Linked DNA regions of Drosophila melanogaster. The protein of the gene in region 1 purifies or fractionates together with the protein of each later gene. This does not show direct contact. Each region holds a gene or a part of one and is shown on either strand. Other genes may lie near its edges.

Region 1 (12,082 bases):
GTGTGACAATCCCATCTCAGCGTCGATATGTTCAGTATTTTTCCAAACTAGTTTGTTCAAGTGTTCCATATTCGAAAGTAAGCCTTAACGTGAGTATTTCCAGCAGCAGCGCCACATTCAGCGCCGTACAAAATCTAAATATGCATTTTTTGTATCTCAGGTATGTGAAATACGCTTCTCGGAGTCCAGTTGTGTGCAAAACTTAGGCATGGTAGAATGTTCAATATCTGTATTACACGACTCAGCCACAGAAAATGCAAAGCCAGATGTAAGTATATAAAGTATATAGATACATCATTGATAGACTATAGACAGCATTTTAAAAATGTATATTTCACACGATTTCAGTGCAGTAAAGTGTTCCTTTTCGAATACCTTTCTAACCAGCAGTAACATTCTTCTTTTTTTTATAATTGCAGAGACTGAAAACCTTGCCGATTGATTTTCAAAAATCATTTGTTTTGACCATTAAACCATCAATACCAGTTTCCGGCGATGTAAAATTTGAACTCACAAAAAAATCCCCAGATAAAATCATTTGTCACTTTTGGCTAAATACGTTTTTTGTACGAAACTATTCACGTAAGTATACTTAATATCGCACATGCATTAAATAAACGATTTAATTAAACATTCTCTTTAGCTTGCGAGTCCGATGGAACAGTTAACAAATATATACACACTTTAAGCAAATCAGAAATCGATGATGTACATAAAGACAGTGAACATAAAAGATTTTCAGAAGAATTCAAGGTAGGATATTTCGAAGCATTTTAATAGATGCTGCGAAATTACCAAATAAATGTGCTTGCTCTCTTTTCAGATTTCAATCGTTTTTGAGGCAGAGAATTTTAGCAATGATGTTCAAGCTGAAGCGTCCGAAAAAGAGAGAAACGAAAATGTTTTAAATTTCGAAAGATCAGACTATGACAGTTTGTCTCCAAACTGCTATGCCGAAAAAAAAGTCTTAACTGCGATCGTCAATGATAATACAACGAAAAGTCAAACAATAGAAACGTTGGATCATAAGGATATAGTTGTAAGTGAAAACACGTTTTGCGCCGATCAATATGCTTAATCTATAAATCTAATATTCGTAGACTAAAATTCAATACGACACATCAACCAATTCAAAAAATACTTCGACTGCGTGCAAACGCAAACAGCCTAATAGCAAAACTCTTTTACCAAGCTTGAATGATTCCACAAAAGAGGAAATAAAACGAAATCATATATTTAATCAACCGTCCATTAAGAAAACTGATTTAATCAAATGGCAGAATAGTGAAGTTCATATCACCTCTGACACTCGAAGTATAAACGAAAATAAGAACATCAATTACAATTCATACATCACATGTAAACAATCCTCTCCAAAATTCAACTGTGGTACCGAAGATGGCGAGGAAGATTGGGAATCCGGTGAGTTTGCTGCACACTATACTCTCAATGACCAGATCTCACTAAAAATCTATCCGTTTTAATCGAGTAATACCGAACAATTGTTCTAATTTCACATTTATTTAATACTAAGAGTTTCGATTCAATTGATTTCTGGACCATTATCGGTTTGATTTTGTAATTAATTGTATTGTATGAGTATTCAAATTAAGATTTGTTAAAAGAGATAGCCTTTATCGACATATGCTATCGTCCACACATTTATATTCTTATTGACTTATTGAATTCGCCAGAATAATCACCCGAGACGATTTAAAAGACTTCTGGCTGAACGATCTCTTAATTTTGATGTATAAAACGAAGCCACCAGAACTGGATTTATATGTCCCCAAGACTTTTACGAGTATACTAGCAGAGACAGGCTTACACAGATCCACTTCCTTTCACGGGGAAACGATCGATTACAGCTGCGCTCTGCACATCTGTTTAGAATTTAATGTACATAGGTGAGTGAGTGGGAGCCCATGCCTGCGGCTCGAATGGTCAACTAACCGGCAATCCTTAATCAGTATCCGCATCGATTTTCATCACACATCCCTCACCGCTTCATAAGTATGTGACTCTGGGCACTGCCATTGTCCTTCTACTCAATTCATTTAACAAAACTAGCACCGAACTGTCGAACTTCGACTAATTCGACTATTTCACTGTTGCTGTTGAAAACTAAATATCCTGAAGCAGAATGTGTCTTTTGTGTGTTTCATCATCATCAAAAGTCTTCTGCTTTTAATTCATTCATGCTATTTTGATTTTTATCGTATTCTCGTTGAGTTTTAGTTAATAAATTCATTAAGCTTGTTTGAGCAAAAAAATCTAAACTAATAAATGAATATTTTTCTTTATTTCCAGGTGAATCAACATACCTGTAATCAATGCTTATTACGGACTTATAATTCTTGGTGATTTAGCAAAGTAATTAAAATTGCTAAGTAATTGGCTAATCTATTCGAATTTGTAAATATACTGTATGATATTTATTTAAGTAGTTTTAACAATTATTTTAAATAAACTCATGTACATTTTGTATTGTAGATTTCATTCGAACTTTGGGTTTTTGTCTAAAGTAAGGGGGGAGAAATAATTGACGTTTAGAAAAAAATACTTAAATTTATAGTTTTGATCTCGAAACTAGTTTTCGACACGAAAAGTGCAGCGATTAAATGGATATCTCATATTTTATTGGAATTTAACTAATAGTTTCAAATGAGGCAATAGCTAAGATAAATAAATAATAAGAGGTTCTTGAAATTTGCCAATTGTTGTGCAAAGCATACAGGATTCACAAAGGTAATTATCAGATTAATAATAAATATTCAAAGTATGATTATTCCAGTTTCTACGTTAAGTGCTACCAGTTATTTTTCTTACTCTTTTTCCCATAATTCCCCTAACATATGTTCCACTTCCGAGTTCCAATAAACCCAACACAAAAATGTTGTCCAAATTGACGCTATCTTGACGGGCATATATTATTGTGTTAAATTGACGTAAACTGGGCGGTCAGAATTTCGCATCTTAACGTCGACATCTAATTTTAAAAATGACTAATTATTCGGAAATTTTTAAGAAAGTTTTTAACGATATTGGCCAACGTTCAGCATATTCGCAGATGCTTATTGGCGTTTCATCAGGATGGTATGTGGTTATATCATTGCGGCGCATCACTTAAATTTTTAGCAATGCCGATTGTCTTTGGAATTTGAAGTAAATTGATTTTTTGCATACTTTCGGTAATAGCTGGTAGATAACTGCAGAATACGTTTTTAATTAAAATATACAACTGAATGCTTAGCCGCTCCATCTATTGCAAATATGTACTTCTAAATACGTGTATAAATGAATGTTGTTTGTTTGCGGGATACAGAAATATAGGACCTCCCTAAAAAGGAAAAGAACTAAATAGTGTAATAAAATGAGTTATTAATCAGATAAAACTGATATAATTTGCACAAGATAAGCTAGATAACTCGGCAATTTACTATACATGTATATGCGCCAAATGATGAGTTGCAAATTTAAGGAAATCCATAGAATTTGCTGGAATTTGTGTATCTTATCTTACTAAAAATATAACAATTTTTTCAGGGTCACAGGATATACGACAATGAAAATAGGCAAATTTGCTGCCTTTGCAGTTGGCGGCAGCATAATCTTGCTCGAAATCGCCCACCAAGAAGGACTTATAAAAATAAATTGGTCTAAGTTGGATAAGAGCGTGGATAAGCTCGCCGATAAAGTGGAAGCCTCGCTGGGTCGTGAGAAGAACTGGAAGGATAAGGTATAATTCATTTAAACCGTTTATCTATATGCTTACTATATTTATGCTGAACTCAATTTGCAGACCGAAAGATATGTCGACAATCAATTAGACAGAGCTGAAAGCCTCCTAACCCGAAACGGCAAGAAAGTGGCGAAATGGTACACCAAACTGATTGGCGATGAAGAGGGTCCAAAAGTCAACGATCTGCACATATTTTTGGCATCATTTTTCGGTGGCGTTGCCCTGGGCATTGCTACTGGATAAAAGAATTTTCCGATTGGCACAACAAAACATTTAAATACCATATGGTTATTACGAACAAATCTCACTTAATAAAGTTACAAAAAAGGTAATTTAATCGAAAATCAATTGGTTCTTTCCCAAAACATCTCAACACTCTTCGGGTTTTCGATATCATTCGTTTTATTAAATTCTTAAACCTACTTATTTTACAGTCCATTTCGTTGAAAATACATATGTATGTGTAAAATCTTATGTTTACATTTCTGGATTACTGGCCTTAAAGTGGCCCTCGTGCCAAGTTTTGAGACGGTTCGAAATATCTGTGAATGTTGGACGTTTTACTGACTGCTCATGCCAGCACTCGATCATTAGCGAGTAGACAGCAGTGGGACAGTTTTCCGGAGCGGAGAGCAGTTGCCGTGAACGGATGAGATTGATTACTTCCTGATTGCTAAAACCGTAGTATGGCTAAAGGGATAGCATTGGAATTAGATATTGCGCATTTAAATCAAGTTTAAGATACTTGCCTGCATTCCATAGCTGTATATTTCCCAAAGAACGACTCCAAAGGACCAAACATCGCTCTCGGTCGTAAACTTTCCATACAATATCGATTCCGAGGGCATCCACCTTACAGGCAATAGCGACTTTGACTGAACTCTGCAATAAAAACCAGCAAAAATGTTTGCTCTTTGTAGCTGCAATCTTGATATATATATGTATATCCAAAGTCTTACCGATAATAATCTGAGCTGTAAATGTCTCTGGATAGTCCAAAATCGGATATCTTCACAACCAGACCCTCGTTTACCAGGCAATTCCGAGCTGCCAAGTCGCGATGTACGTAATGATGGGCCGACAGATACTGCATTCCTTCGCTGATTTGTAGAGCTATTTGCAGGAATTCCAACTGCGACAGCGACTTGCCTTCGGTGGGTGAGTTTGAGATTAGGAATTCGTGCAGATCACCATTGGCCATGTACTCGAACAGCATGCAGTAGGGCTCCTTATTGAGCACTACGCCCAATATGCACACTATATTCTGATGCTTTAGATCCGAGATTAGTTCGATTTCGCGCTTAAAGTCCTGCTGCGTTTTCACCGAGGCGTTTTCCTTCAACGCCTTGATGGCAACTGTTATGGTGGTTTTGTTCGGCTGCAGGAGCTGTCCCTTGTAGACTTTTCCTACAATCGAAATGATATTAAGAACTATATAACCTGATTATACTGGAATTACGAACCAAAAGCTCCTTCGCCCAGCTCCTCCAGAAACTCAACATCCTGCAGCGTAAAATGGTTTATCCTCAGCAGAGTATTTCTTTCGATAAGTTTGGAGTTCAAAGCAACGTGATCGGATAGATTTCCCAGATTTCCCCTGCCAGCATCTTGTGCGTTATTAAGCTGCGAATTTCCGTAGATATTTTTATCGGCGCTGGGTGTGTTGATCTGTAAGAATAATTGTAATACTCTGTTGTATATCCTTAGATTTTTACTCACATTATGAATATTCCTCATTCCATAGTGCATGATTGTTCTCCTTTTGAAAAGTATTATCGCAAATATAATTATGAATATTAGAATAATGGCTGCAGTCGTTCCGACAATGGCAATCCATATTTTGTCCGCACATTTTGGAATATCACAAAGTTCGATTATGCGTTCACGTGAGGAGTCCACAAAACACCAAGGACTATTTTCAACGCTTCCAGGATTTCTAACGAGATTTAAATATAAATTATTATTTCGATTTCCTTTCGAAATAAATTAAATAAAATTACCTGCAATAATTCTGACCGATGAGTTCAGGGAAATCGGAGATTTCCTTCATCAGCCATGACCATCGCAAACATGGCTTTCCGGATGCGGAGACGTTGGCCACTCCTCTATATGTCGATCCATCCTCCCAGTAACAATTCTCCGTCTTATCCACCTCGATGGTGATGCCCAAGGATAGGCAGTCCTTGTGCTGCGGCAACTTTTGGCAATCCTCCACACCCACCATCCCGATGACGGGATGTCGCTTGGCAATGGCATATTCCTTCTGGCACAGCTCGTTCTCCAGAAGTTCGCACTCTTCGCGGCAAATGCGTTTTAGGTTCTCAGACTCTCTGGTTGGTGGGTATTTACTCGATATGTCTGTGCTGAACACATCCTCGTAGATGGTGGACTTCTTCTTGAATATGCTTATGTTCTTAATGTCCTTGGACTTGGTTCTCTTCCGTCGAATGCTGACGTTCTTCAGTTGCTTGGCATTTGTGGCCACGTTGGCGAAGTACAAGAGATTCGTGCGCTCTGGAGTCCGGCAAATTGGCATTGAACTGAAACACAAGCTGGGCAAAGCGTACATGCGGCAATTTGCGTTCATATCCCTGAAAATATGCACTTGGCATTAGCAACGGAATGTTGAAATAGTTATCATACTCACTTGGATTCCTTGATTACTCCATAAGCTGCCTTTAATCGCTCCTCCAAATCGTTCATGGTGAGATTGGGGGATACGAAAACATGGGCATTGCTCAAGACATCGCGACAAATGGTGCCATTGTAAATATGGCAAATACCTGATGATTGCTGGAAACTGCAGGGCAAATAATATATTGCATTTTTAAGGATTAAAAGGATAAGGGCGTCTAAAGATTTCTGCATTCGAGTATACACTATGTTTAGTAATTTAAAAATATATAAAACATGTTAAGCTCATGATTTCATTAATTATTAATTCCACACAAAAGTATTTCGCTAATTATTGTTGCGGAAACTTGGGAAAACTTTCAGTGAAAATACCTACCCATATATTCTTGAGTCCACATTATGGCTCCCCACATCCTTTTTTGTAAATAAAAGCACGAGCGAAATGCAGACTATAAATGCCGAGTATTTGTTCATATTGCTTAATCTAGCTAACAATATGAAGCCTTTTGTTATTTCAATAGTCCAATTGACATGCCAACGATTCCGAAAATATTTTTGTATTTATCCTTTCGCGAAAACTTTATGTGGCATACAACATTTCATCCCCCGACGAAGTCGTTGGGGTTGTTGACTCCTTATCGATGAATCGATATATTTAGGAGTGCTATGACTCGGAACAAAGGAATTACACTATAATTTCTTATAATTAATAATCCAAATATCTTCAAAAGCTTTATTTATTTTATTAAAGATGGTTGTATAACGACTTTAGTCTCATTTAAAGTACACTTTCCCTTTTCACAGTGAAATAAGGGTAGAAAAATTATGCGAAATACACAATAATATGAATTTAACATTAACAATGTATTTGGTTAAAGCATTTATCATAATGATCTAGAGATTATCTATTGCTTTCGGTGTTCCAATCGTAACTTATCGTTACTCCATGCTGTCGACAGTTTCCTCGGTAACAAAGCCCACAATGCTAAATGCAGTTTCCTCGCTGATCCACAGAAGTCCCACGATTAGTGCCTCCAACACTCCGATGGCAGCACCGGCGCAGATATCCAAAATATAATGACGCTGGAGGATGAGCCGTGAGATGGCCACGCTTACAGCCCAAGCTGTGACCGGCATTAGGAATATGATGTGAAGCGGATACAGCTTGGCGAAGAACAGCAGCACAAAGAACGCCCGGGAGGCATGACCTGAGGGAAAGCTGAACTTATCGGGTCCAATGGTCAGCATATCCTTGCTGGCCACCGGTCGCCTGCGACGAACAAGCGCCTTCAGCACGGCCACGATCACTACGTCGAGTATCAGGCCGAAGAGCATATTGACTTGCATTTGATACAAGCTCTTCGAGCTGAGCAACCAGATGAAGGCGATCCATGAGACAAACCAGGCGATTCCATCGCATGATATCTCCAGAAATCTGCTGTGGATCCGCAGGGATTTGAAGAACGACAGATTGGAGACGGCTACTACAAAATGCTTCGACACCTGAACATCCTTCTCCAATAGGTATTTAAGTGCTGGTGATGACTGCAAGGACAAGATTTTAAAATTAGCACTTATCAGCTTATGTGATTCATCAGTGGCCAAAAACCAACCGTCCTCATATCGCTGTGTATTTCAACTCTTTTGTTTTTATTTATTGTTAGTGATGACAGTATTTCTCATTCGTCATTCGATGTATACTCGATAAGTCGAGCAAAGGAATATCTAATGACCGGAACGGTGAAATGAAACACTGCGCCAACTTAGTTTTTGGTCTTTATTAAATAAATTGCATTTGTATATGTTTATTTGTAAGTTATTAACACTTATTAGGTTTTAAACCCCTAATTAAACCTAATTTTAATCAAAAGTCGATTGGCTGACTTTAGCCGTTTCTGGTTTTGGTCCTACTGCAATCTGGTCACATCGATTTAAGTAACTTTGTTGTGATCGAATATTCCAATAGATTTTCGTATATTGTATTGTATCCATGTACAATTATTCTCATGCGAAAGTGCCGCAGATAGTTGATTCTTAAATTTCAATAACATTAACATAGTTTAAAATGCTCGCCACTTTGAGTGCCCAGTGTGTAGAATAAAATAGAAAAAAAATCGATTTTATATTTTCACAAGAAATTCTGTACTTCTTCGTTAAATGGTAAATAAATATTCTATTACGTTCCATTCACATCAAATATCGAATCACCGAAACACTCCTGCAAAACGTGCCATAATCGATTGAAAGCAATTATAGTTGTGCCGGTTATGAAAAAAATTATTGATATTTAACATAAAATGTCAACTGCCCAAAGAGTGTATGTACCTATGTATGCGCAAATGTCTAACGTTTACATATCGACACTACCCGAAGCGTAGACCGCTTTATTATCTGCAGCGCAAACGAGCGCTTTTTCGATGTACGAATACGGGGAATATCTTTTATCTGAGAGATAGTTTGAAAAGTTACTAAATTATCGACCCACATTTGTGTGGCTGTATGTGCATATGTATGTATGTGGCTTACATCTTACACATATGTATACCAGTAGAAGTTTACAGTTTTCATCCGCATACAAATCGTGTGTATGTACATATTTACACAGGCAACGGCATGCATACACATGAACGCTATGTACATCGCTGTGGTCCAACATTCCGTACTTTTATGTTTAAGCCGGACATATCGATTTTAAATCGGTTTTTTTTCCTGTGCGTGCCGCTAAACACTTTGCTCAAAGAACGAAACGCTCGGTTATTTCTGTTGGGTGTTTTTCCAACCATATTCGACATGTGTTCGGCAAACATTTAAATGCTTATCAATAGAAAAGGGGGTTCGGCATTCGAAGTCGGCTCAAATAAGTGACTGCGTTATGCAATTGTATCTTTTTGAAGGAACTCGATATTTTTTGCTCGTGGTTTGGCAACAAACTCGCCACACACTAGCCAGTAAATTTCACCCCTCGCGACAACAGAGACCCACTTAATGGCCATAACATTCTGCCGAAATAAGGCCAGGCAAAGTTAATGTTTTCCTACCCCCTAATTCCAGACGAAGTTGTCTGAAAACTGCCTCCACCCATTCAGAATGGAGCCATACATACGGACGTCTTTGCTCCTTATATAAAACAGAATCACACTGTAAAACCGTATTGATTTATCTTATTTACCCTCTTGAAAAGGCCGATATGCTCCTTGCTCTCAACTAGTAATAAATAAAATCAGTGAACAATGACGACAGCTCAGCACCAACACTACACCGTCGAGGTGGGGGACACCAACTTCACCATCCACAGTCGGTACATTAATCTACGGCCCATAGGATCAGGTGCCCAAGGAATAGTATGGTAAGTGGTTATCAATATGTTATTACATATAATACATTTAACAATTTTTTGGCTTAAACAATTAAGATATTTCGCATGAGTATGAAGTCATATTTGTAACGCTCCATTGTATATTAGATTAGATTAGATGGGATTAGCTGGAATATGAAAAAAAAAAATAACAAATTTAATGCATTTCAGCGCCGCTTACGATACTATCACCCAGCAAAATGTGGCGATTAAGAAACTATCTCGACCATTCCAAAATGTAACCCATGCCAAGCGAGCATATAGGGAATTCAAGCTAATGAAGCTTGTTAACCATAAAAACGTATGAAACTTGCACCTTTAACTTTAACAAATTTCTACTAAACATAGGTATTTAATCCGTAGATAATTGGCTTACTTAATGCTTTTACGCCGCAAAGGAACTTGGAAGAGTTTCAGGATGTCTACCTGGTCATGGAGCTGATGGACGCTAATCTCTGCCAGGTCATCCAAATGGACTTGGATCACGACAGAATGTCCTATTTGCTTTATCAAATGTTGTGCGGAATAAAACATTTACACTCAGCAGGAATTATTCACAGAGTACGTACAGTATGAATACATCTTTAAAATGAGTATGAAATATATGAAATACTTCATTTGCAGGACTTAAAGCCATCCAATATAGTTGTAAAGGCCGACTGCACTCTAAAAATTTTGGATTTCGGTCTGGCACGTACTGCAGGAACTACCTTTATGATGACTCCCTATGTGGTCACCCGATATTACAGGGCTCCAGAGGTCATTTTGGGCATGGGATACACAGAGAACGTGGACATATGGTCCGTCGGTTGCATTATGGGCGAAATGATACGGGGCGGTGTGCTGTTTCCTGGAACGGATCATATAGATCAGTGGAATAAAATTATTGGTATGTTGCTGCTTAAATAACTTGATTCTCGTTATGATTGTCAACTTTTACGTTTTTTCAGAGCAATTAGGTACACCATCACCCTCGTTTATGCAACGGTTACAGCCAACCGTCCGAAACTATGTGGAAAATCGTCCTAGATACACTGGATACTCATTTGATAGACTTTTCCCCGATGGCTTGTTTCCAAATGATAATAATCAGAATAGCCGCCGGAAGGCTTCTGACGCTAGAAATCTTCTTAGTAAAATGCTAGTCATTGATCCAGAGCAGCGGATATCTGTGGACGAGGCTTTGAAGCATGAATATATCAACGTGTGGTATGATGCTGAGGAAGTGGATGCTGTAAGTGATTCTGGCATAAACTGGATTTCTAGGAATGTTGAATGTTTTTAATCGCTTAATTGCATGCATCTCTTGCAGCCCGCTCCGGAGCCATATGATCACAGCGTGGACGAAAGGGAACACACTGTGGAGCAGTGGAAGGAGCTAATCTATGAGGAAGTCATGGACTACGAAGCACACAATACAAATAATAGAACGCGGTAGAGAACGACTTTTTCCTCCTTAGTCAGTCACAAGAAAACTAAAGCTTACCAACAATACGGCGTGTATTGTTAAATTATTACAACAAATAAAATATTCAAATTGTATTTAAAAATATAGTAACCATTAAAAAATAAAATCAATATGCGAAACTTTGTAATTTCTTACTCATCCTTGTTTTTTGAGCCCGCTTTCTTAAGTTAAATCGTTAAAATACCAGTTTAATCATTTCATTGTCCTGATTTCAGGAGCTAATTACATTTTAATCTTTGTATAAATTCATAAAATTTAAATGGAAAAGTTTAACCATATAAATTATTTCGGTATATAAAGTCGATACATACTTTTAAAATTTTGTTTCATACAAGAATATGGAAAGTAGATAATTTAGTTACCGATAAAAACATTTCTAAAATACAAAAAATTTAAAATGATGATTAAATAAAAAACTGTTATACTAAATTTAAACGAAACAAACGGTCATTCGATAACTCAATTAGTATCGAATAAGCCGGCGTGTAAATCGGGCTGGCAACTCTCACCGGTGTAGAGATCGGGATGGCAACTTCGTACTGTTATTCCTATGCTGCGATAACGATAACAGCAAAGTGTCATCGCGAATAAATGTGGGTTTGATAATAAAGAATTGCGTTGGTGAACAATAATAATACAAATGCTAAATGTATCGCGCGGATAACTAGTAAACACTGATTTCGCGCATATCGGGCATACGGGCAGCTAGACGTCTTAGGTAACACATTTCCCAGCCACATTGGCGTTGAGGTATTATTTCCCATATCCATGTGCGTTTGTAAATGATACCACCAGAGTGTGCCATATGTATCGTTGTTTGTACATACATGCCTACGGGGAAAAATAACTCGCAGATACATATGTATGTAAGATGTATTAGAAT
Region 2 (11,683 bases), on another chromosome or scaffold:
GTGTGTGTATCTTTTGTAAGACTAAAATATATTTACAAACTCATAATATTTCTTTAAAAATATGTTTATTTCCGAACTTTTAGTACCTATTTACCATTTAAAATGTTAATGCTCTATCTATCTGCTATTTTATATTGATGCAGAAGTATATATTCCACTATCTAATGAGCTTTTACCAGATTGCCTTTCCCATCCACACAATTTTCTTGTTTTCCAGTCTCCATTGCAAATTTGTTAAATGTCGCATAGGAAAATGACACTTTTCTCGCGCTTAATTGAACACTTATTTGCGAGAAAAGTGCAGACGGGGAAGGATAATCCGGGCTAAGACAATGCAGCCAGGGGACACAATGGCGACGAGTCCTGAATAAAATATTTACCGAATCCTAAAACTGAGGAGCAACGACACCATCTCCATCCATACTGCCCCATGCATATTTTAATAGTTTTTGTCTGCTGCTCAAGAATTATGAGATTGATGCAAGCTGGGCAGGAGTAGGTGGTAATCACATAACCCACTTAGCTTCAGCTGGCGCCAAGATACTTTCCCTGCATCCCCTCCAAGATACAAATACGTATATATATACACTCTCCACGCTTTTCAGCAGCAGCTGTTTTTTTTTTTGGGGGGGGAAGGGAGCTGTGGCAATTAAAATCAACTCCCGAAACTACAAATTAATTAGTTAATTAATTAGCTAAAAACACTTGAGATGAGGCTGGTGTATAAATAGCGACGGCGGAGGAAAGATGCCCCTGCTGTTGGGTGGCTTTGATCACAGCTCGGATGCCGTGGCCGCGCTGACAGCCCAGCTACAGATACAGATACAAATGCAGATGCAGATGCAGATAGCAGATACCAGATACCAGATATATGTATCTCGTATATTGGAGGGCCCCCAAACACATGCACTCCAGATTGTGCATAAAACTCGCGTTTTGTTTACATGAAAAAGGAAGACGGTGGAGTAGGGGAAGTGGGGGGAGCTATTTGGTAAATTTATGCATTTTTCTGCTTAAAGGCAAACGCAACTAAATGAACATCAATCACGTGACGCCGCTGCCTCAACACGAGGCCAAGAACTGCAACTGCACTTGCTACTTGAAGGAAATCAGCGATGCACTGAGAGATATTTTATCTAATCGTATTGTTTTAACTCAAGACTCATAGATATGTTTCTTTATCCGCTATTAAGAATTGAAAAGGTAGATTTGAAACGAACTCTACAATTTATCATAATTGCAAAGAAGAAGATGTATCTTGAGGATGTATCTTGAAGATGGTTTTCTCAAAGAAGTTTACTTTTCGAATGCATAGCTGCATTTTAGAACCAAGTGATCTTTCTCTGTGTGGTTCTTCTTCGACCAGGGTCTTCTTCTTCACGGTCCGATGCATGGGATGCATTCTGTGCACTGCACTGCACTTCCTGTAGCTCTGCGCGAAGGGGTTAATTGGTGAAGGGGTGGGGGGGGGTCTTTGGAAGGGGGAGTTGGCAAAAGGGACTGGGTTAGCATGGGATCTGACGCATGTACATCAAAACTTTCGGTTTTTATCTTTCATCGGTTTGTTGGGCTGCGTTCCGTTCGCTTCGGTTGCGTTTTTATGCCTCTTTACCTTTTCTTGTTGTCTTGTGGTTTGCCCGTATCTGAAAAGGGGGGTTTGGGCCAGGGAGAGGTGGGGTTGGGGTTGGAATACCATTAAATGCAGCATTAATCAAATGAATTTGCCCTACACGCAAAGAAACCGGTGAGCATTTACAGAGTGCAGCAGTTACTATCAATCTAGGTAAGTTCTATGTAATATTCCACTGAAAGTTTATGGCTCAAGAACTAACTTCAGTTTTTAGATATAAAAATGTAACAATATCAAGTGAAGTTTTTTGCAGTGCTCTCAACTACCCGCTTACAATTCAATTTCGCTTTGTTAATTTGCACAAGCAAAGACAGATTTGCTGTCGCCCTTAACCATCAGTCAATTTGCTTATTGCGAACAATTGTGGGTCTTGGAGTTGGAATGACATGGGCACTGGGATTGGGATGGAGATGGGGACTGAAACTGGGAATATAACTACTCACATATCACGCTCAGTTTGGCGGGCGGAGACGCCTCCCTGGCGCCGCTGGCCAAATTTGTCGCGATGCAAACATAGTTGCCAACATCCTCCGTGCGCCGCACCGCCTCGATATGCAAATTGGAACCGATTTGATGGACACGCTTGTCATACGCAATCCGATGACCTGGAATGGAGTGCAAGGAAGGCGAATGCTTAATGCACAACCATGGGATATGTAAATCGCACTGCTCACCATTATGCAACCAGTCGTAGTGCAGTTCACTGTAGGAGTCGGTCGATTCGCACTCGAATTTCACGGATTCATTTTCCACCACGGACTGACTTTGGGGCACTCGCTGGAAACGCGATGAGCTGGCCAAAACGGAAGCTGTAATTATAGAAATAAGCGAGGGAAATTAGTAAACTGGATCTCATTACAGTCAGCCATTATCCCGATTAAAGGGCAGAGTTTTGCAGCTCTTACAAAAGTCCCTTTAAATTTAAATTGAACATCGAACAATTTGGCTTAATTAACTAAAAAAAAAAAGTGCATTAACCATAATTTTGTTTAATTAAAGTGGTTTAAACAAATTAAATGCGCTTAAGCTGCTTAAATTACAGTGTTTAACGCAAATGTAATTTTGTAAAGCGCTCTGCAAGGGCAGGAGCAAAGGCAGAAACACCAGCAACAAAATACTCAAAAAAGGGCGGAAGCACAAAAAACAGAGGCTTTTTTTTTAAATCTAAAAACCCTTTTTGAATACTCTTTAGCTGCAATGATTAAAGTGCTTATTAAGTAGCATATTATTATTATTGAATTATTGGACAATTTGTTACAAACTAAATAATTACATAAGTTCAAAGCTTAAATGAAATGATCTTTGCCATTAAAATTTAAAAAAATACCCTTTATAGAGTATCAGAGAGAGGCATGGAGAAAAAACCTACGCCATTGCTGTCCAAAGTTGCGTGTCCTCAAACAAAATTACAATATGTGTATGGTGAAAAAAAAAAACAAACAAAAACGTATTCAGAGTTTTGTACCAACATAATTAAAAGCCAGAAGAAAAAGGCGCCCATAAAAACCATGCGAAAAATAAACGCATTTCGAGAGGAAAAATGTTTTTATACATTTAATTTGTGTGTTTCTCATTTATTTGTGAATGCAAATCGGTTGTTATATTAAATCAACAGCCGCAAATGCAATTTGCTGCATTTAAAATGCAATTCACTGGTCAGGTGTGGCCCATATGAATGCATTTCAATGGCGATTACCAAATGAGCGAAGAACCTTTTCATATCGAAGCTGTTTAAATCCAGACCACAAGTGGCGCCATTCGAGGCTACAAAGTCAAGTGAGTAGATATGGCCAGAAGATACATAACTCCCAACCGCAACTCGAAACGAAAAGCAATTCAAACGCAATTACTTTTGATTATACGACTTGGGTAGCAGGAGCAAGGAACATGAACAAGAACTACAAAACGGCAACCATTATATTTGGCCACTAATTGGAGCAATTTGAGACAACACCTCAGATTGTGGGTCCCGGGCGCAGTTCCTTTTTGGCCAAGAGCACGACCGCACCGAGGAATCAATAAGCGGGCCAACAACAACAGCCACAACATCATTACTGGCCTTTCGACGTTCGAAGGAGGAACTCCATGCGATTCATATGCCAGTCACATCGCCGACAGACGTGTTATGATACACGGCCCAACCGAAAAGGCAGTTGGGCAGGCACCGGGATGCCCTCCACCTCCTCCTCTTGGCTGGGCTTAACTCCCTGCCCTGCTCGACTCGATCCTCCCCTGAATCGATTTAATTTGCCGTGCGGAAAACGAGTTCGAGTTCCAGTCAAGTCGAGTCGAGTTGAGTCGATTCGATACGAGACGAGGGAACAATGTCAGTTACTGGGCGTCGATTAAAGAAATATGCGTCCCGCTCCGCAGTCCGTTGATTGCGCTGATGTGGGCACAAAAATGCGTGAGAGGGTGCGGAAAGCGACGAGGAGTGGGGCAGGAGGTGGAGCTCTGTGGAGGAGCACTGATGCCGCAGAAGCCGAGCAGCAAACTGAAAAAGTGTTGATGCTGCAAACATCAGCGACAGAGCCACGGAGCAGCGGGCAGTCCCGGTTCCAACTGCCCATCTCGATCTGTCTGTGGACATACACTGGCGAAAAAGAAGGGTAGCCAAGTGGGAATTTTTGATTTTCTAAATTTAAAAACAATACAAACGAATTTTCAACACTGTGTCTTTCAATTGATTTATTAAACTAAGTAATGTTTATTTATAACTTTTGGTAAGCAGTTTCGCAAATTATGAGCATGTAATGAGATATGACAGAGTTTATGATAGGAATTGGTAGATGTTTTTATCTTTTTTTATCTTTTGACATTATAGGTATAACAATCTTCTCTATAACAACCGTTTCACAAGTAATACGTTTGTGATTTATATACTTTAAGGTGTGTACTTGGAACTCTAAAGATTCTTTTTTTAAACCCAAAGAAATCTTTCTCAGTGCATCGTTCCATTCTTCCACTTACCCTCGTCGCGGGTGTGTGTGCGTGTGTGATAATTAGTTCGTTTGTTTGGCTCGAATAACCGAAATCAGCAAGTCAGCAGCAGGCAGTATTACGAGTGCCCACTGCTGTGGCCTCATGCTCATCAGCATCTTTGAGATTCAGATTCAGATTCTGATGCAGATGCGGATACAGATCCAACTTCGACTGCCACAAATGGTGCGGCAACATTCGTCGATTAAGCACAATGAATGCGAAATATTGTAGTAATAATCAGGCAACCCACTGTGGCAGCCACTTGAACTTGCCCCATGGGTGGCGTTTTGATTTGATTTTGTGTGCGTGTGTCTGTGTGCGGGGGGTGGCAATGGGAATGGGGAATGGGGGGCTAGAACTGAACTGTCACTGTGGAATGCGAGGCATTTGTCTGGGAAAAGCGGTGCTGGAAAACTGCAAGTCAACAGACAGACAGGCACTGAATGAAAAGTGGAATTGTGTCTGACAATTACGCGTCAAACGTTTGATCTAGGGTTTTTTCAGGGGTAAAAATGGCCAGAAAAAGGACTGGATGGTCTTTGATAGAGTTGGAATTCAATTTAAAGGTTACAGCATGGCTAATAAACAGTCATCAGGGCTTTATTCAGGGATTTTCCCTTCAACTACAATCGAGCTTCTCGGGATCATTTCCTTTGTGTTTCAAACAAAATTGATTTAACAACATGAAAATGGGAATCGTACTGCCTGCCAAGCATTATTTATGAAAAGTTATTATGTAGTCTCTTACTTCTTATGTGTAAAATAAATACCATTTTGGATATGATTTCTTTGAACGCTACTTTGTAGGAAATAACTAGCTTACAAAATTATGGTTTTATGTCTATTACATATAGGTAAAATACCCTTATCCAGCCAATCCAGTGTAGTAGAAAACCTCAAGGATGCTGTATTCAATTCAAAGTATTTCAAACGGAGACCAGTTGTTCATAGAACACAGCCTAATAAATTGGATTCATTATAAGGCAGCATTAAATCCTGAAATTCCCTTTATACCCCGGCTTTCTAAGCAAATGCATGACTAGTTCATACAATTTTCGAGAGAGAACCCTCTGGAGAACTTTCGACTGGCAGTCTTTAAGGTTGCCGAAGGATGCAGACAGGCGGAAGGACCAGGGGCGGGGGGTGTGGCAGTGGCAGTGGCAAAGGTTGGTGAAGGGGAGTTTTGTAGTTGCCACAGCTGCCCTTAATGTGGGATGTACGATGCTTTTGCTTTTGGCCTGGCATGTTGCATGCAGCATTTTGCATGCTTGAATAACAAATTATGACTGCCACACAAAAGGAACTCACACAAACAAGCACACACACACACACACACACTGACAGCCACATTATTTGCCATACAAATAATGGACCTCTGTAGTAGCGTTGCACAGATTTTGAAATATGCGAATCCAAATCCCCCTATCCTCGCTGTCTGCCGGCTGGCTTTTGTTAGCGGCTGTTTGCCTTTGTGCTACTTAACAGTCAGCAGTTTTCAGCTCTGTCCTGTCTCACACACACACACTCGAACGCACGCACACACATGCGTTGTTAAGGACCTTCGTTTGCATAATCGTGTCCCTCTTGAGACCCGAGATCCCCCTCCTTCGGGCACGATCCTTATCCCACTCGTAATCCCCGCTGTAAACTATATTTGATTAGCCGAAATTTCGGCGTCGCTTGTCTCACTTCAAGTGGGTATCGTGATCCTTGGCAGGATGGTCCTTATATTTCAAGTGTGTGTGTGTGCTAGCACTGGGAAAAAACATTCGGAAACATGCCTATATAGTGTTTCTAATTAGTGAATCTATTAAAACAGAACGGATCTAAAAGGTATAGAAATGAAATATTTATTAGTTTTATAACAATATTTTCTTATTCCGAGCGAGTATTTTAGCTGATCTGCCTATAAATTAACTACTTTATCTAAAGAAAAGTATTTAATGAGCAACATCTGTCATTGAAAAGGATAACCTGGCCACAAGGACCTCAATTGTTGCCTGTGTTAGTGAGCTCGTCACATTTTCGATGTTGATGTTTGCCCAAAATGACTTCATTTTGAACTGAGACCTGAGACTCATAATTTTCCAAACGGCTTCCTCTCCCGCTGCTTTCCTTCTCCTATTCCAAATTAGTAATGCCAGCTTGGTGGCTCCTGGCTGACTTTTAATTGAGTCATTTTGCACGCCGCTTGCCTTTCAAATTGAATAGCCAGAGACAAAGGCTCTCTGGGTTTTCGGTTTTTCTTCGCAAAACAAAATCGCCCTTGGAGAATAAGGAAATAGGAGTAGTTCTGTGTGGACGGCAGAGCCCTCGAGGTTAATAGAGTCCATATTATGGGTGGTCTCACCCAAGATGGAATGGCCAATATTCTGCGCAACACAAATGTTGTGATTCCTTTGAAGTTCCCAGCGATTCAGTTGCAAAGGCAATCGCCAAATGCCGACATCGAAATAAGCAAATAAATGGGAATTGAGAACCCCCTTAAGCAAATGAAATGAATTTGATTGCAAAGAACCCCCCGAGAATAAGGCAATCCCTCACTTAGTCCACAAAATCCAATCGTAGCAGACCACTTACCCATCATCAAAGCCATGACCAGGCCGCATATTGAGATCATCCTAGCAGTCATCTGCGTATATGTATAACCGCCGCACTTCGACACCTTTGGTCTCAATTAGCGACACAAAAAATATATAAGCACTCGCGTATTGGATCAGTATCGAAAACGAAGTTTTATGCTGCTGGCAATCCGATGAATACACTCGCACATCCACCAGATAGTCACTGTAAGTGCCGGCCACTCGAAAATGCACTCAACGCATTTGTAAATATTCAATATTTGGATGGCACAGACGTACGACGACGACGACGATGACGACGATGACAACGACTGCCCTTTTCAGGGGTTTACCGGGGTTTCAATGGGATCACTGGGCTCCACCGGGGATGGTGTTGTTGGTGGTGGTGACTGGAGTCCAGGGCGGTTTTTTGATGTTTACTGTGGACACTCAAATTAAATTGCTATTTACATAGTTGGAACGCATGAAATGCATTTATCACCGAGAACACACGAACTGATACGCCACTTGCTGTTTGTTGCTTTTTACTTTTATTTTCCGTTGACGGCTGGTTTATGTTTCGTGGCTGCGTTCGCGTTTGCTTTTTTATCAGCGACCAGATTGACAAGCGACGGATACGGATACCGACAAAGGTATCTAGATACACAAAATGCAACGAAATGCTCGAAGACCGAAGACCGAAGACCGCGCGGCAGAGGGCGCAAGGAGCCCAACTGTGGGGTTCAATTACCCAAGAGAACGCGAGCGCAACAAATCAACTTAATTTGTATCTTAAAGATACAAGAGCCCGGCTGCATCAGCTGCATCCTTGGCATCATCGCATCCCGAACCGGCTTTGGTGGGTGATTTTAGTTCGGGGCAAACTCGGCTAAACAAAACGTAGCGCAAAAGGAACTTGGATATCTCGAATCCAATCGAACCTCAAACTCAATCTGAACTGCACGCGTTCGAAGTCTGTTTATTACTGAACTCCGCCGGCTGTTCGAAGTTGTTGGTGGGAACCGGCTTTTGCTGCTCTCTCAGCGGAAAATACTGGGTTCAGTTAGCGCTCTCTCCGGTGGAATATACCTACTCGTGACCAGTATTTCTTGCATGCCCTGTATTTCTGCCAGTGCTGCCGAGCTGCAGCAGTCGTTTGTGGCGCGGCAAGTTTGAAGTGGAATTTTAAAGACTTAACTCACAAGTTTCATTTAATTTAAAATACACCAAAACCTAAAATTAATTTATATAATATATATAAATATATAATATTTATAAAGAGCAACCAACTTAAGATGATCATCGTGAGATGTGGTAAAAATGGTTTATTGTGATTAAAAAACTAAGAATTGTTTTATGAGTTTATATCAAACATGAGTATTTAATTTGCGATTATTCCCCCTAGCTGAACCCGACACTCTTCCTAATTTCATTTGATGAAATAAAGCTATCAGTTGTCTGCAATCAGATCAGAGAGTCACTATGCAAACCGCCCGCTGTCTCATCATCCAACCGTTTCCCCCTGTTTTTTTTTTTTTGAGTCCAAACAATAATGCGTCTTAATGACCAAAGCAAGAATCAGCTAAAATGGGGTGGCCGGTCGGCAGTGGGAGGAAATCCATTGGTGGCTTGCTGCTTTTACGAGCAGATATACGACGAAACTGCAAGATACTTCCACTACCAATTTTCCACACTCGAAGAAATAAAGAAAATTTTAAAATGTTCTATGAGAGAAAATGTTATCTAAGAGCAACGAAGGAAAATTTTGATAATACAGCAAAACCAATTTAAAAACAATGACATATAAATTTAAATCCAATTGAATCTTTTGATTGAAAGGTTCGGCTCTTAATCATATAATGTTTATAAAACTGTAGAAGTTTTCTATGAAATTGTTGGATAGGTAAAATGGTTGATTGGTATAAAATTATAGTTTCTAAACTTTTTAAACAAATTCTAATAGATCAAACCTATTGCTGTGCATCTAAGACAGTCCTTGGCTGCTACTGTGCGATTATGAGAACGGGCCTGCGTGAGTGTGTGTGTGGATTTCCATTTTATAGTTTTCCGCTTGATTTTTTTACGAGGCCTTTCAACCCCGCACAATGGAAAACCAAGCGAAGAGCCACAAAAACAATTGCAGCTGATCCTTTAGCCGGCGTTGACTGACACCCAAGAGTCGTAAACTGCCGTTGCCATTTGTATAAACTATATAACCGAGAGGGGTGGTGCCCACCCCATTTCCTCCTTCCCCCAAAAGTCCCAAACCCCGCCCCTGATTAACAGTCCGGGCCCTTTGTGATTATATCTGCGTGGAAATGCGTGTGTGCGGTTATCAAAGGCTGGCCATGGCGATGCCCAGAAGGGCGAAGGGACCGACCATCCAAAGTTGGGCCTCCAGTGCGCTTTTCCACCTCCCATTTCCCAGTGCTCGCGCTGACTCTTCGGACGAACGACAGTTATTGATGTCATAAAGTTGGAGATTTATGCCATCGCCTGGCTGGAATGTAGGGCTTATGTTTTATTATAGGCCTTGTTTTGAATTTGGTTCCTTTTCGCCTTCGCCTCCCTTGATTTTGGGGTGCAAAGCGATCGGGCGAACCGAAGCTGCAAATGGTGTGTTAATAATATTGTATTAACTTTTCATATTGCAAAGGGGTTGCCAAGGGGTAATATGTTAATTGGATAAGTCGCACGATGCCACAACTTCATTTATTTCAAAAATATGAGACCCTCTTTGCTAAATCAGTAGATAAATACATACATACAAAAAGTTTCAATTTGAAAAATTTTATTTTCGAAATCGCACTCTTTGTCGGAAGTCTTAAGTATATCCTTAGAAGATCGTTACAAATTTGATTGCTCTGTTCTTGGAAAGTTTTAAACGTTGCAACTTATTCCTGGCCAAACTAGAAAGAAATCTTTTCATCTTTTAGGGTCTTTCGACTATACCGCCATCCATATATGTTTAAGTTATTATTTCGAACTGCTTACCGTAACTCAACGCCTCGCAATCGTATAATTTTATGGAGCATCCCAAAAGTTGCAACGGATTCCGGCTAGAATCCAAATCGGAATGCCGCCCATAGCAAACATCAAACATTAGAAGGCATTAAAATAAATTTTAGTAACGCGGCCTTTGCGTAGACTAAACAAAATAAACATACGTACATATATTGTAGTACACAGCGTTTGAAGGTGTTTTTGGGCTGAGGCCCGCCCCGTGCGCACTTACTATAAACAAATAAGGCGAAAAAGTACCAAAAAAAAAGAAATAGAAAAAAAAGGGGGAAATCGAAGAAGAGGAAAAACATCAGCGGAAGGGCCCCCAACAACAAGTTTTTAATGCATGTCGATGTCGTCGTCGCCGCCGCAGATCAAAGGCAAATCGCCTATACATACATATGTACATATGTAGGTGCATGGTACATACATATAGAGAGGTTGGGGTGCTGCATAGGATACCATACCATGCCATACCATACCATACCACACCATACCAATCCATTTGATGGGCGGCTGGTGGAAATGCAGGCAGGGGTGGTCGTAGTCGCAGTCGTTTAATTGCACTTGCCGCTTACTTTTTTATCTGCTGCCTGGTGGCGGAGTAACCTGCGCATGTGTAGTTGCCTTTGGATAACGCCTTTGATGTGTGGTGTGCGCTGTTTATTCGAGCGCTATAAAAAGCCATAAAATATGCATAAAGCACACTGGCAATTGGAGATTGCCAGCATATGCCAATGGAAATGGACATGGAAATGAAGCGATTAAGTGCAGATGCCGGCAATTGAAGGGAAATTGTCGCTGGATATGCTTTAGATGGAAATTCCCTACAAGATGATGGGTATGGGTGACACTGCCTCAAAGGATGGCATATCATGGTGCAAGCTAGTCAAAGAATCCAAAACAAATTGTTAAGTAATTTGGCATTGGAAGGATACCTTTTTCCTATCACAAATATAAGATATACTATTCAACATGTTGATAAACTATAATTGCTATGAAGAAACTTTCATTGTTTTAATTAAACGAAAGAAGAAACGCTGGAATGTCGCGCTATTTTACGACTTTTTATCGGAGGGGGGAGGGAGGGTTGCCTTTATGTGCAGCAAACTTCTCCGTCTGTCATAAAAAGCGCATAAAAAGCCATGGCAGAACACTCATCCGGGTTCCATGGGCTTTACGGCCGTGCCAAGTGGGCTTCCAATTTACGATGGAGCAGCGGAGGAAGTTTACGAGCCCCGCACAACGCTTGTCCGCCGCAAAAAAAAGGAGATTGAAACGATTGCGCTATAAAATGGGGCTCTATGAGAGCCATAAAATATTTATTCTACTAAAAAATAACTGTACATGGGATATATACACAGAGACACACACATGCATAAATACATAAAATATTTATATATATATAAACTAGATAAATATATAAATACAAATAGATTTCTGGGGGATTTCACAAGTTCCTTTTTGATTCTCAACAACAGAACGGAGTAACTTTCGAGGGGCATGT

The links.
Region 2: the proteins of Ror (region 1) and otk purify together in Drosophila melanogaster (affinity purification with western blotting, with the first as the bait; one study listed by BioGRID). This does not show direct contact.

The regions. Positions count from the first base shown.
Region 1 is NT_033779.5:10,246,735-10,258,816, reverse strand, and holds Ror (Ror), read right to left. Parts: upstream 6,975-12,082; 5' UTR 6,851-6,974; coding exon 6,753-6,850; intron 6,543-6,752; coding exon 6,390-6,542; intron 6,334-6,389; coding exon 5,743-6,333; intron 5,679-5,742; coding exon 5,462-5,678; intron 5,411-5,461; coding exon 5,206-5,410; intron 5,150-5,205; coding exon 4,702-5,149; intron 4,625-4,701; coding exon 4,492-4,624; intron 4,433-4,491; coding exon 4,220-4,432; 3' UTR 4,131-4,219; downstream 1-4,130. Other genes in the region: Pten (phosphatase and tensin homolog), read left to right, coding at 1-89, 161-268, 420-582, 644-753, 824-1,039, 1,101-1,422, 2,311-2,330; CG5676 (uncharacterized protein), read left to right, coding at 3,002-3,096, 3,547-3,739, 3,803-3,985; CG31717 (uncharacterized protein), read right to left, coding at 7,316-7,921, 7,990-7,998; bsk (basket), read left to right, coding at 9,607-9,722, 9,903-10,032, 10,095-10,292, 10,356-10,620, 10,682-10,965, 11,044-11,169. UniProt on the Drosophila melanogaster protein: Tyrosine-protein kinase receptor that functions during early stages of neuronal development.
Region 2 is NT_033778.4:12,011,686-12,023,368, forward strand, and holds the start of otk (off-track), read right to left. Parts: upstream 8,162-11,683; 5' UTR 7,245-8,161; coding exon 7,193-7,244; intron 4,211-7,192; exon of another isoform or gene 3,410-4,210; intron 2,440-3,409; coding exon 2,305-2,439; intron 2,236-2,304; coding exon 2,074-2,235; intron 1-2,073. UniProt on the Drosophila melanogaster protein: Acts as a calcium-dependent, homophilic cell adhesion molecule that regulates neural recognition during the development of the nervous system. Component of the repulsive Plexin signaling response to regulate motor axon guidance at the embryonic stage.